Drosophila melanogaster: one gene and its partner. Changing the gene in region 1 together with any one later gene gives a genetic interaction. Each region holds a gene or a part of one and is shown in the gene's direction. Other genes may lie near its edges.

Region 1 (4,688 bases):
AACTCCGATTGCCATTTCGTCTAGGATTTTTGTTTTGTTTCGGAATTGATGCATTTTTAAAAGTTGCCCTACCAGAAGGAAACGAATTGTTGAACTGTATTGTCTATTTTAACAAAATATTTGTTTTTTTTTTTTGTATATAAATGTGAACAGTGAAATTCTTGAAGGTTCAACTTTAGAACATGATTGACAGATATTTTATTTAGAGTAAGGCAATCTTCGTGGGAAAAGTCCAATCCACTGCCCCTACTAAACCCAAAAGCTTTATCACAATCTCTCAACTGATGTTCTATTTATATATTCTTTCTTTCTATTGCCAAAACTATTTACCTAAAACCAAAAAAAAAAAAAAACATGAAAACTAAATGAAAACTTTTGCACAAAACACACAAACAATCCGAATGCTATGCAACGTCAAATCAACGTGGTGTCTCGTTGCCCAAAAATTGCCCATTTGCATTTTCGCTGTTACTCACTGCCAACTGCTGGGCGCCGAAAAACTTGACCGCCTTGGCACTCGAAACTGGCGCCCAACGTATGCCGGCCATTTACTTCTGCAGGGAGGGCTGCAATGGGAATTGCAAGAACCTGAACTGCAGTCGCCATAGCCACGGACGCGATGACCAGCAGCAGGACAACAACAACTCCAATAGGAGTTGCAGCCTGCAGGAGGCGTCGCCTGGGGGAGCAGGTGCAGGTGTCACACCAGGCGCTGACAACCAGGACAGCATAGAGAGTCGCACCAAGGGCGTTTCCCAGGCGCCGCAGACCCACAGTGGCCCAACGGGTCCACCATCCAACACCTCGAGCGAAACTATCGCACAACCTGCCCCTAAGCTTCAACCCGCCCTGGAAACCGTAAGGGAATCGGTGATGGAAGAAAGTCCTTCGAAGGATCCCGGCGACAAGGGACCACCGCCGCCCGCCAGCACATCCACATTGACATCCCAAACCACCACCTCCTCCAGCGCAACCGCGGAGCCAAGTGCCAAGGCGGCCGAGAGTCAAGCGGGAAGTGCCGGCAGCAGTGGCAGTTGCAGTAACCCAGCGGCGGTGCATCGGCAACGCCGCCTAAGGACACCCACCTGGGCCAGGTCCATGTCGACGAACAAAACGTACTTGAAATTTGATTTCTATGCTAGACTAACGTTTATCCGTTACGCCTCTTCAGTTCGTTCGATTTGCCTTTATCGTTTCACGTTTGCGTTAACCAACCAACAACCACACAGCTCCAGAATGAACTACTTTCTATATATACACACATAACTCTATGAACTCTGTCTCTCTATCTCTCCTTTATCCAATCTATCCATCTGTCTGCTGACCTCTGTCTGCGATTTCCACTGCTGTAATCTTCTGTCTAGCCTCTGTCCCCTACCCCAAATCTTTTGCTCGCTTCTGTTGTAAATAACTATTTTATCCTAGACTAATCAAAAAAAAAAAAAGAAAAAAGGACACTTGTTTCGTTCCCCAGCCGCGCTCAGCGGGATTGTAAATGTTTCGTTGCCGCGTTTGGACAAAAAATTGCTTACTACGTTTAAATACTCCGTGCAACTATTAAATCAAACTTACATTCATACGTAGTAAGCACTTGAAGGAGTGAGAACTGGAAGATATACTTTAAATGTATTCAAAACTGCTTAAAGTATTTGTATGATACATTTGCATTTCTGAGAAACTATATCTTCCACTTTTGACGCCACTCGCAAGCAGCAACTCTCCTAGTCTTGTCGACCAGTGTAATTTTGTGAATACATGTACAAAGTTTGAATACCGCACATGAATCCATGGCATGTTGATTGTCCTACATTTGTTTGTTTTCTATATTAAAAAACTAGCTTGCGCATGTGTTTTGTCGTTTTTGAACTTTTTTTAACTTTCCCGCCTAAGTGTGTTAAATACCGTTTAATGTTTACCAACACTGGCCAGCCGATCGTGACCAGGTGGCCACGCTGCGCAATGGTAAGACCGTACTGCCTGCAATGCCTGGGTATTTTACGCGATCCGTGACTGGGGTCACACCATTGCCGCCAAAAAAAAACATTTTCATTCGCCTCGTTATTTAAACATTTAAAAAAAGCATTATCGAATAGTTCATTGAAGTCGCGGCCTAATTTGGGTTTCATTTAACCGTACAAACGTGCCGCGCGTTCGAAATGAGCAGTGATAAAGTGAAAAACGGCAACGAGCCCGAGGAGTCGGAGGAATCATGCGGCGTGAGTAGCGAATGACAAATGGCTGTGCGAACCGAGAATTAATGGATCTTTTGGGCCATGTGCCGGCTGCAGGATGAGTCGGCCAGCTATACCACCAACAGCACCACCTCGCGCAGCAAGTCCCCGTCATCCAGCACGCGCAGCAAGCGCCGCGGTCGCCGGAGCACCAAATCGAAGCCAAAAAGTCGCGCCGCCTACAAATACGAGTAAGAATATGCACTTTCTCAGCTGGCCACTGATACTGAACCTACAAATGATTACCATGAAGCACCCACGTGAAGGAGAACCACGGAGCCAACATCTTCGGCGTAGCCTTCAACACGCTGCTGGGCAAGGATGAGCCACAGGTCTTCGCTACGGCGGGCAGCAACCGGGTGACCGTCTACGAGTGCCCTCGACAGGGCGGGATGCAGCTGCTCCACTGCTATGCAGATCCGGATGTGAGTCGCCAGGATACAGAATACACTTTCAAGACCCTATTGATCAGTTGGCTAAAGTTAGGGGCTTCATACATTAGACATCGCATTCAAAGCTGTAGAAAAAGTGGGATCCAGTCAAAGTTTCTATTAAATCATTGCTTTTGTTAATTGTTTTAAAGTAAGAACAATCGTTACAGGCTTTCAGCATGGTTTCACAATATCCAAACATTTATCATTTCTTGTATTAAGTTTGGTTTTTCATAACAGTCAAGTTTTCAAATTAAAGCTTATATTGTTAATTTAGCCGAGAGTAACTGAGAATATGGTCGCAAATGTAATTGTACAAACTCGAAATACATCAACAAATCTTGAATTCCCTTCCCAGCCCGATGAAGTATTTTACACCTGCGCCTGGTCGTACGACCTTAAGACCTCTTCACCTCTCCTGGCCGCTGCTGGATACCGCGGAGTCATCCGGGTTATTGATGTCGAGCAGAATGAGGCGGTGGGCAACTACATTGGCCATGGACAGGCCATTAACGAGCTGAAGTTCCATCCGCACAAGCTACAGCTTTTGCTTTCGGGCAGCAAGGATCACGCGATAAGATTGTGGAACATCCAGAGCCATGTGTGCATTGCCATCCTGGGCGGAGTGGAGGGACATCGCGATGAGGTGCTGTCCATCGACTTTAATATGCGTGGAGATCGCATTGTGTCGAGCGGCATGGATCACTCGCTGAAGCTGTGGTGTCTGAATACGCCCGAGTTCCATCACAAGATCGAACTGTCGAACACTTTCAGCCAGGAGAAGTCAACGCTGCCTTTCCCCACGGTGACCAAGCACTTCCCCGATTTTTCAACGCGGGATATACACAGGAACTATGTGGACTGTGTGCAGTGGTTCGGCAACTTTGTGCTCTCCAAGTCCTGCGAAAATGCCATTGTCTGCTGGAAACCGGGACAACTACATCAGAGCTTCGAGCAGGTGAAGCCGAGCGACTCCTCCTGCACGATAATTGCGGAATTCGAGTACGACGAGTGCGAGATCTGGTTCGTGAGATTCGGCTTCAATCCGTGGCAGAAGGTGATTGCCCTGGGCAATCAGCAGGGCAAGGTGTATGTGTGGGAGCTGGATCCCAGCGATCCCGAGGGCGCACACATGACCACCCTGCACAATTCGCGTAGCGTGGCCACTGTGCGCCAGATAGCCTTCTCTCGCGATGCCAGCGTACTGGTCTACGTGTGCGATGACGCCACCGTGTGGCGATGGAACCGCAGACAAACAACTTCCATCTGATGGCGCAGCTGGGCGCAACCACAAACCAAATCTCACGTGGCCAAAACTTACAACATTTCCCTCAATTAGTTCCTAGTTGGTTAGCATTAAGATATAGAATTACGCTCCTGTGCTGTTCCAAATTATTTCAAGTAAATCCAATTAATAGTTGGATGAGATTTAAATATGTTAAGCCGGTTGCTTTTTAGATGTAAGAACGAATAGTTGTTGCTTACTCTGCTGCCTTTATTTATTGTAAATAAAGTGAGTACATTGTAATTTCACATGTATATAAGCAACATTGAAGATGTATTTTCTGCTTAACCAGAATCCAAACTGCTGCTCTTTAAGCCATGTAAACGTCTTCAAGCTGACTGAGTGTCCCCAGTTGGCAATTCTAATTGCGAAACAAAGCAAAGCTGCGCATAACAAATGGCTTTCAATTGCTACGTCATTTATATGCATTGCTGCAACGCCATCCAGCTCCAATCTGCTGGAAATGCGGCGAATAAGCGCGACGAAATTGAAACTGCCAACGGGCGTGCGAACCGGGATGAGTGGGAAACCAAGCCAGGCCAGGCGGACAGCGATCCCGACCAGCCATAACAGCTCCCAGCAGACTGATTAAGCGAGCAGAGTCCCACAATGATTTGCCATGCCCTAGCTGGATTTTTATCGAACGCTTCTCTCTCGTTTTGATGAAAGTGCAGGCCATTTCCATCATGGGTTTTTTTCTTTTTTGGGGGGTTGTATCTAATGGAAGTTTATGAAAATAGC
Region 2 (7,788 bases), on another chromosome or scaffold:
ATTCCTAGCTGCATTAAGCGGATTCTATATGCAGGAATATTGTAATTTTCAAAACAGTATTTCTCTCAGTGTACCGCATATCAAACGATGATAGATGTGTGAGCGGCATACGGTGAATCCGTTACAAAGCGGCAGGGGATGAGCACGCGCCCTCAGTTCTCCAGATAAACAATATGTATGGGAACGCCGCCAAGCGCAACGATGCCACCAACTTGACTTGGCCAGCCCTCATCGCGGTCGAAATGGTAGAAGCCAGAGTTCCCCCATTTTGGCCCGCTTTTAGGCCGCGTGCCTCGTACCGCTTCGCTAGATCGGCGGCACCCGTGGCGGACACGAGTGCGATGGAATTTCGGTGTCGCCTCAACTCTGCACATGTCCTGCCATGGAAATTGCGCCAAAAACTAGGGGATGGGAACTAAAATTGCTGACAAGGAAAAGGATCGTTAAATGTGGAAGTGTAAGTGTGCGCCCGCCACATTTTCTTGGCTCGTTTTCTAGGCAGGTGTGGCCCGCGCCAAGGATAGATAAACTGGAATTGAGGCGGCCAAGACGAGGTGGCCAAGCGTGGCGAGCTACCAACTCAGGAGGAGGACCCCGAACTCTCATCAAGGATAAGCTCGGAAAAAGGTGCATCGAGCGGTAGAGGGAGAAAGTGGCAGGTGCTCAGTCGTCCTATCTGAGTGGTTTAATAGCTACGATCCAACGAGAAGATGGGGACTTTATGGCTTAGAGTTTGGTATTGGTTTTAAATTGACTGACAAAAGAATTCAGTCTTTTAATTTTATTGAAATGCTTTAGGAAAATACGACGAACTGCAAAGTTTGCATTGAGAAATTTAACAAAAACTTTGTTGAAAGTTAATGTTCTGAAACCAAACCAAACTATTTGTTAAAACGGTTTTAAATGGGAAATCTGATATTTTGATAGCTATTAAATAAAATCTGTCCTAATCTTATGTATTTAAATGTAACATTATTATAATCAAATATGTCATTTTGGTAAGGTAGATTTTATATAGAAATATAACAAAAAAAATTCTACAATAATTTAAATAAAGTTTATATATTTGTGCATTGGTTGTGAAGTAGGTTTACGTCAATCCTCTAAAATGTAATAACACTTTTTATGGATGAAGTCTAAAGCTTAAAGATTAAATTCACGATGTTGCTTTAAACTATTTACCCTTATTGGGAGAAGCGCAAATAAAAATGAATTTAAACTTAATTTCTCCTATATTTTACTCGCAATGTATTTTTAATAATTAATACAAAAATTAATTTTCATCACATTCAAAATTAGGAACCCATTTGTAATCCTTGTCAAATCTAAAGGTAATCTAAACAGTATCTACAAACATGGAGAGTTGCCACGACAGATGTTAGATCCTTGGATTCATCCACCTAAATATTTGTATGCTACCCCGCCCCATCCCGCCCTCGTCCTCTCCCCCCTTCCACCGATCAGCAGTGAAATCCTCTGCCGATTGCTGGCCCTCTCTCGCTTCTTCTCCCTTGGCCAAAGTACCGATCCCGATATTCCTGAGCCAACAACAGTTGGTGGCAGCAACAGAAAGAGCAAAGGCAATTGTAACTGTTACAGGGCAGCGGGAAAAGGATAACAAACGCCCGCCAAACTTTAAGTGCATACCAATTAGTAGGGAAACGCGTGCTGGAAAACCAGTAGTAGATGGGCCAAGAGGATACGAACGCAGGGGGTTGGGGTATCGAGATCGCCAGGGGACTCCTAACTGTGCGTCTTGACCCATACAACATGGAACACAGGACTGCAACTGCCGCCAACTGCTGCCAAAGGTGAAAAACCAGAGTTGGCAACACGAACACCAACACCAACAATACATTGCAGGGCTCTCGAGAGCCACCACCAAAAGAGTCAACACCAATACACCGAGGGCTCGTTTTGATTCGGCTTGCTGCCGCACTCACACAGTGCCACAAGTAACCACAGTCGCACACAAAAATAAAAAAAAGAGAGCTCGATTTGTACCTTTTTTTCGGGCCAAGTCGCTTCACCGTTGGCTCAATTTAGAACTGAGCCATCGACCAAAGATTCAGTCAGGTGCGAAGCACCGAGCGATACGGACGTGTTCGTCTCCAGTGAGTCAAGATAAAACCGCACTGAATAAGACCCATCGAAGATCCGTTCGAATCCAAGATCACAACGCCAAGAAAGTGAGATTTGTGCAGTGAACAGTATTGAGAAAAATCACAATCCAAAGACTGTTAAAGCAAATACGTAAATCAGATCCAGTGAGATTCCAAAAAGTAAAGATCCAGAATCAAAATGAATCACCTATCGCCGCCGCCATCGCCGCACTCCCAGCAGCCGAGTCCCGCGGGATTGGGCTGCCATGGAGCAGCTCTGGACAAGCAGTGGATGCAGCGGGCATCCGCCTTCAACACTGTGATAGCCTCCGCCGCAGCACAGAAACTCAATGGTCGAGGTGAGTTCCCGATCTGGATTGACAGAAAAATATATGGGGCAGTAAAGATAGCAAAAAGATTAGCTTATAGCTTTTTAATCGTTTCGAATTGTATTTAAAAGATCACTCGATTTAAAATCAAAATGTTAACACTTTCAACAGATCAGAAAAATTATGTTAACTTTACTGTAGTTCTTACCAATACAAGAGTAACTTTATATTGATAGGCATCCTGAGGATACTTTTCCTTCCTAATCTTAATCACTACTATTCAACTGATTCGTTAAATTTGCATTTCATAGATCTGCCCTTTTTGTACAACCCGCTGCTCTACTCGAGTGCCCTACTGTGGCCCCAATTTTTGTTGTCCTCGGCCACGGCTCTGGGTACACCACTGACCCCCATGACCCCCAAATCGCCCGCCTCTGTGGTTTTGGGTCAGCGGGATCGTGACTTTGCCTTGACGCCCGAAAAGGAGCATGAACTCCAAATGAACAATAACAATGAGAACAGCAAGCAGGACTATCAGGAGCAGGATGAGGATATGCCACTAAATCTAAGCACCAAGGAGCGCATCACATCGGATGATTCCAACCGAGATCAGTATCACAGCAGCAGCAACAACAGCAGCAGGAGCAGTTCCAGCAGTGAAGTGGAGCAACTGCATCCGATGACCTCGCTGAACGTTACCCCGCCTCCCCTGAGCGCTGTGAATCTAAAGAGTTCGAGTACACCACAGCAACAGCGCCAGAGATCGCAGGGTAACATCATCTGGTCACCGGCCTCGATGTGCGAGAGATCGGCGAGAAGGGAGCAGTACGGCCTGAAGATGGAGGAGCAGGGCGATGAGGAGGAGCACCAGGTGGATCCTATTGTGCGAAAGTTCAAGTATGAGCGCAGAACTGCATCCATATCCTCGCTGCAATCGCCGATCTCCTCGCTGTCCGCTCCCGCCTCGAATGCCGTCCAGGATCTGGAGTTCGAGGTGGCCCAACAGCAGTTGTATGCCCATCGCAGCGCATTCATGGCCGGATTGACGGGCAACAATCTGGAGCTGCTCACCCAGCACTTGAAGCTGAAGAGCGAGCAGCCGCAGCAGCAGCAGCAACAGCATCGCATCAAGGACGAGCAGCAGCAGGATAACCGCTCGGCAGCGGCACTCATGAATTTGGTGGCAGCCGCCGAATTCGGCTACATGCGTAATCAACACCAACAGCCGCAGCAGCAGCAGCAACAACAGTTGCATCACCAGCAGCAGCCGCAGCAACATCAGCATCAGCAGCAACATCCTGACTCGACGGCCACAGATGTTGCGCGTCGTTCGTCCTCCTCGTCATCTTACCAAGGAGAAAACGAAGAGAAGCGCAGCGGCAGGAATTTCCAGGTAAGCAAACTCAAACAGGATAAACGCGTCGAGGGGTAGGGAAATATGAAGAGGAAATCGAGGGCAAATCGCTTGAAAATCTCTGAGCCCCCAGCCCGCTTTAATGGGCTTATCACGTGTCCTGAAGGACCATGATCTATAACCCAAAACGAATACTGTTCGTATCATTGCATAAGGTTGCGTGTCCTCGACAATTCCCCTGTGTTAATTGTTTCATATTTTGTCCGTGCGGGTTTTAATTGTCGCCGAGCCGAAAACCCCACCAATACCACTTTCAATTTGGAAAAGTGGCACAGCAAATACTGTCATAAAGTTGGTAATACAAGCCAAACCGATAGAGCTCTATGGAAATTCAATTAAGTCCCATCGAAATCACGCAATTAGTTAATCAAATAATTTTGATTAGCGCCAGTGCGGTGGGGGGCATAACTCGCCCTCGAAGATTTATGTACAAATTACAATCATAATAATTCGATATTGGATTGTGCAAAAGGTAAGAGGGCACACGACCCTCAGGAATTTGAGACGACTTACCCTAATAGGCCTTATGCCTACCCCGATGTCATATTGCGTTTATATCCATCAACACCCGCCGCGAGTCCTTATTTTTTTTTTTTTTAACATCTTTTTCCAGTTTTTTTTTCACACATTAAAGGGTCAGAGTGAAATGCGATAGGTTTTCGGGCTTCAGTACCGGACCGACATATGGTCAAAAAGCCGACGAAGACAGTTGCCAGAGTCCTTTGCGCAGGCGCAGTCACTGTTCTTCAGCTGTTTATGTATAAAATCGAATTTTTTCTGTAATTCGTGCTTTACATCTGTTCACCATTGGAGGCCCACCCGGCTGACTCAGACTTTGGGGTTTCTCCTTAACTCTTTTTTTGTTTCCCTGCTCGTTTTTTCTTTTTTTTTTTGCCTTTCGAGCTTTGCCAACTTCCGTTCCGTTGTCAGAGCTAAGCAAATTGACATTATGGCTCAGGCAGTTGAGCGCAGCTTAACAATAGAGCAACTAATTGGGTCTGAGTCTAGCCAATGTGTGTAGTGGATATGGTCCACGCGAATGCAATGCGCAAATAGAAAATCCCAAAAACAAGGCTAAAAAAAAACGTAAAAAATAAAAAAATAAGAGAACATAAAAATCAATAAGAAAGAAATTTTAAAAAACCGACACTTGTGTCAATTTACAATTACGCGTAGACCATGCGGGTTTTTCAAAAAAAAAATTGTCTCACATTTTTTTCACCCATTTCTGTGTTTTACTTTTCGTTGTTTTCATGTTTTCGTGTTTAATATAAATGTCGCCCACGTAGGCCGACGATTTGAGTTGTGTTATGTCAATGTTTGGTTACTTGCAACGTTGCTGCAACTGGCAAACTGTTCAAACATTTAATCTGACAACCGAAGATGTTACAGCCACTGGATTCGTCCAATCCCCGCGATCGATTCCCCGTGGATCCCAGCTGTGTTTGGCCCACAAATACTGCGGTATATACAATGTATGTACATATATGCATGGCTAAAGCTCCCTGGAAAGTGTCTCACTTGAGATTTAGCATTGGGCCGAGATATTTACCTAGCTGGTTTCAGCGCTGAGAAATGGCTAAGGTTCTAGATTATTTGTCGCCTGGATGTGGGCTAACCAAGTTTGGCTTGGTTTGGGTTTTCCCTTGTCGTCACTTGTCTAACAAATATTTGAGCACTCACAAATCTAGTTTAATTCATGTTGCCACTGCGAATTTGGCTCAGGCACACAAAAACGGTGAATTTATATATAAATTCTTTTCTGATTTTTTGATTATTTGGCTTTTTGGTGTGAATATGCTCAAGCTGTGCAAATATGGGGTATTCTGAGTTCCAATAATCATGACTCGTTCTGTCTGAATGTGGTGTTAATAATGTATTTTTCTATTGTCTATGTCTTTCTTTTTAGTGCAAACAGTGTGGCAAGAGCTTCAAGCGTTCGTCCACCCTGTCCACACATCTGCTCATCCACAGCGATACACGGCCATATCCCTGCCAATATTGTGGCAAGCGGTTCCACCAAAAGTCGGACATGAAAAAGCACACGTACATACATACCGGTAAGTTGAATATTCGGTGAAATCAAAGCTAGTCCATGGGGAGAGTATCCAACTATTCCTCGGCAAATGTGTCAGAACGTGGTGCAAACAGAGCCACCCTTGAGCACACACACAGATCCCTATCGCCTTTCAATTTGTCTAATTGCTGTAAAGCTGCCGCCGCCTCTCGGCCACAATTAATAAACTTTGAAGCGGCATTTAACTAATTGTGTTTATTGATTTTCCTGCGATTCCAGGCGAGAAGCCACACAAGTGCACCGTGTGCCTGAAGGCCTTCAGCCAGAGCTCCAACCTGATCACGCATATGAGGAAGCACACGGGGTATAAACCCTTCGGTTGCCACCTTTGCGATCAGTCCTTCCAGCGCAAGGTGGATCTGCGACGTCATCGAGAGAGCCGCCATGAGGAGGCTCCGCCAGTGGAGGACCTGAAGCCCCTGAAGATGGAGGTGAGCAGCAGCAGCTGCTGACCGAGGCTAGGCGGCAATCTCTGATCCAGGAGATCCCAGTATTAGCTAAGCAGGACGAGACACACACTCAAAACCAGATGATGATGATGATGATGATGATGATGAAGGTGGAGCAGATCACAGTTGGCCCTAAGTCTAAGTCGTTGCTATGAAGCCAAAGTTTGTTTTGTTTAGGCCTTCGCAAAGATTTACCTAATCGTAAGAATTATTGTTAAAACATATTAGCTAAGATACTGCCTTAAGTCTGTACATAGTTATCCCAAACAAGACTCTTTTTTATAGCCGTTAAACCCTAGCTTAATGATTAATCTAATTTATTGCATAAAGCGTTTTTGATTTGATTCAAACTTAACCCAAAATTGGCAGCTAAACGTACCAAAGAACAACCTCAAACAAATGAACTACCACTTGGCGACCACTTGTCTAAATTTAGTTTCCTAATTTATTTAAGTTTATTGATGGCATCACCCACATTTATTTATACGATCTATGCGAATTTTTAGTTTATTCTTATTTTGTAATAAGCCCAATGACTTATTGTAATTATATTTATTAGGAGCGTATATGATTTTTGGAAAATAAAGTTGAAAGCTAAAAGAGAACAAACAAAATATATGGGTTTTTTTAAGGATAAAATATCTAGAATGATTGATTGATTCCTTTATACAAAATCCTCAGGCATATCAGAAAATACACATGATATGATTAATACATATGTATATATTTTTGGTATGTATTATTAATTCAAAAAGTTTTTACATCGGGTGGGTTAAATATCTCATTATTACGATCAACCCCTTGAGCAGCTGAGAAATTCCTTAGTATCAAGGACACAGCCTCCTCCTTTGAAGTACCACATTTTGATACAAATTGTCCAAAGCGCTCCAAATATTTTTTCGGGGGCCTGTTCGTAAACCTGATTTTATAGATGAATTTCTGCACGTACTCAATTGATGGGGAATAAGTTGCTCCTGTTTCGGGTGACGCGGTGATCTTTGATCTGTGCCCAATGTGGCATTTGGGGAATGCCCTTTGTAAGTCGCCGCGTTACAGCAGGTACACATCCCCCTCGGCCCACTTGCATGCCCGATCCTTGGGGAAAACGCCAATAAGTGTTCGAAGTTCGAACTAATTGCTGACGAAATAAAGTGAGAAATGGGGCTGGCGGGGATCGAGAAGGGGGGGGGGGGCATGGAGCAATGGTCATTGAGGACTGCTGATCGCAATTTTCGGTAATCGAAATGTCCGAATGCATTTTGCGGCACTTTAAAACGCCCGAAATGAAGTTTGGCAGTTTACAAATCACCGACTTCCCTCATTATCGCCATTCATCGGCAGTCGCAATCAGAAATCGACCAAATCAGCGAGCCCCATCCGCAGGATTTTATTTGGGGCCACTTTCTGCAGCCAAACT

Evidence for each region.
Region 2: of esc (region 1) and sens, changing one suppresses a phenotype caused by changing the other (phenotypic suppression), as found in Drosophila melanogaster (one study listed by BioGRID).

What each region holds. Positions count from the first base shown.
Region 1 is NT_033779.5:11,826,704-11,831,391, reverse strand, and holds esc (extra sexcombs), read left to right. Parts: upstream 1-1,986; 5' UTR 1,987-2,156; coding exon 2,157-2,216; intron 2,217-2,288; coding exon 2,289-2,422; intron 2,423-2,484; coding exon 2,485-2,656; intron 2,657-3,020; coding exon 3,021-3,932; 3' UTR 3,933-4,188; downstream 4,189-4,688. Other genes in the region: Pde1c (phosphodiesterase 1c), read left to right, coding at 561-1,115. UniProt on the Drosophila melanogaster protein: Polycomb group (PcG) protein.
Region 2 is NT_037436.4:13,395,421-13,403,208, reverse strand, and holds sens (senseless), read left to right. Parts: upstream 1-2,083; 5' UTR 2,084-2,301; coding exon 2,302-2,461; intron 2,462-2,742; coding exon 2,743-3,824; intron 3,825-5,754; coding exon 5,755-5,905; intron 5,906-6,141; coding exon 6,142-6,374; 3' UTR 6,375-6,981; downstream 6,982-7,788.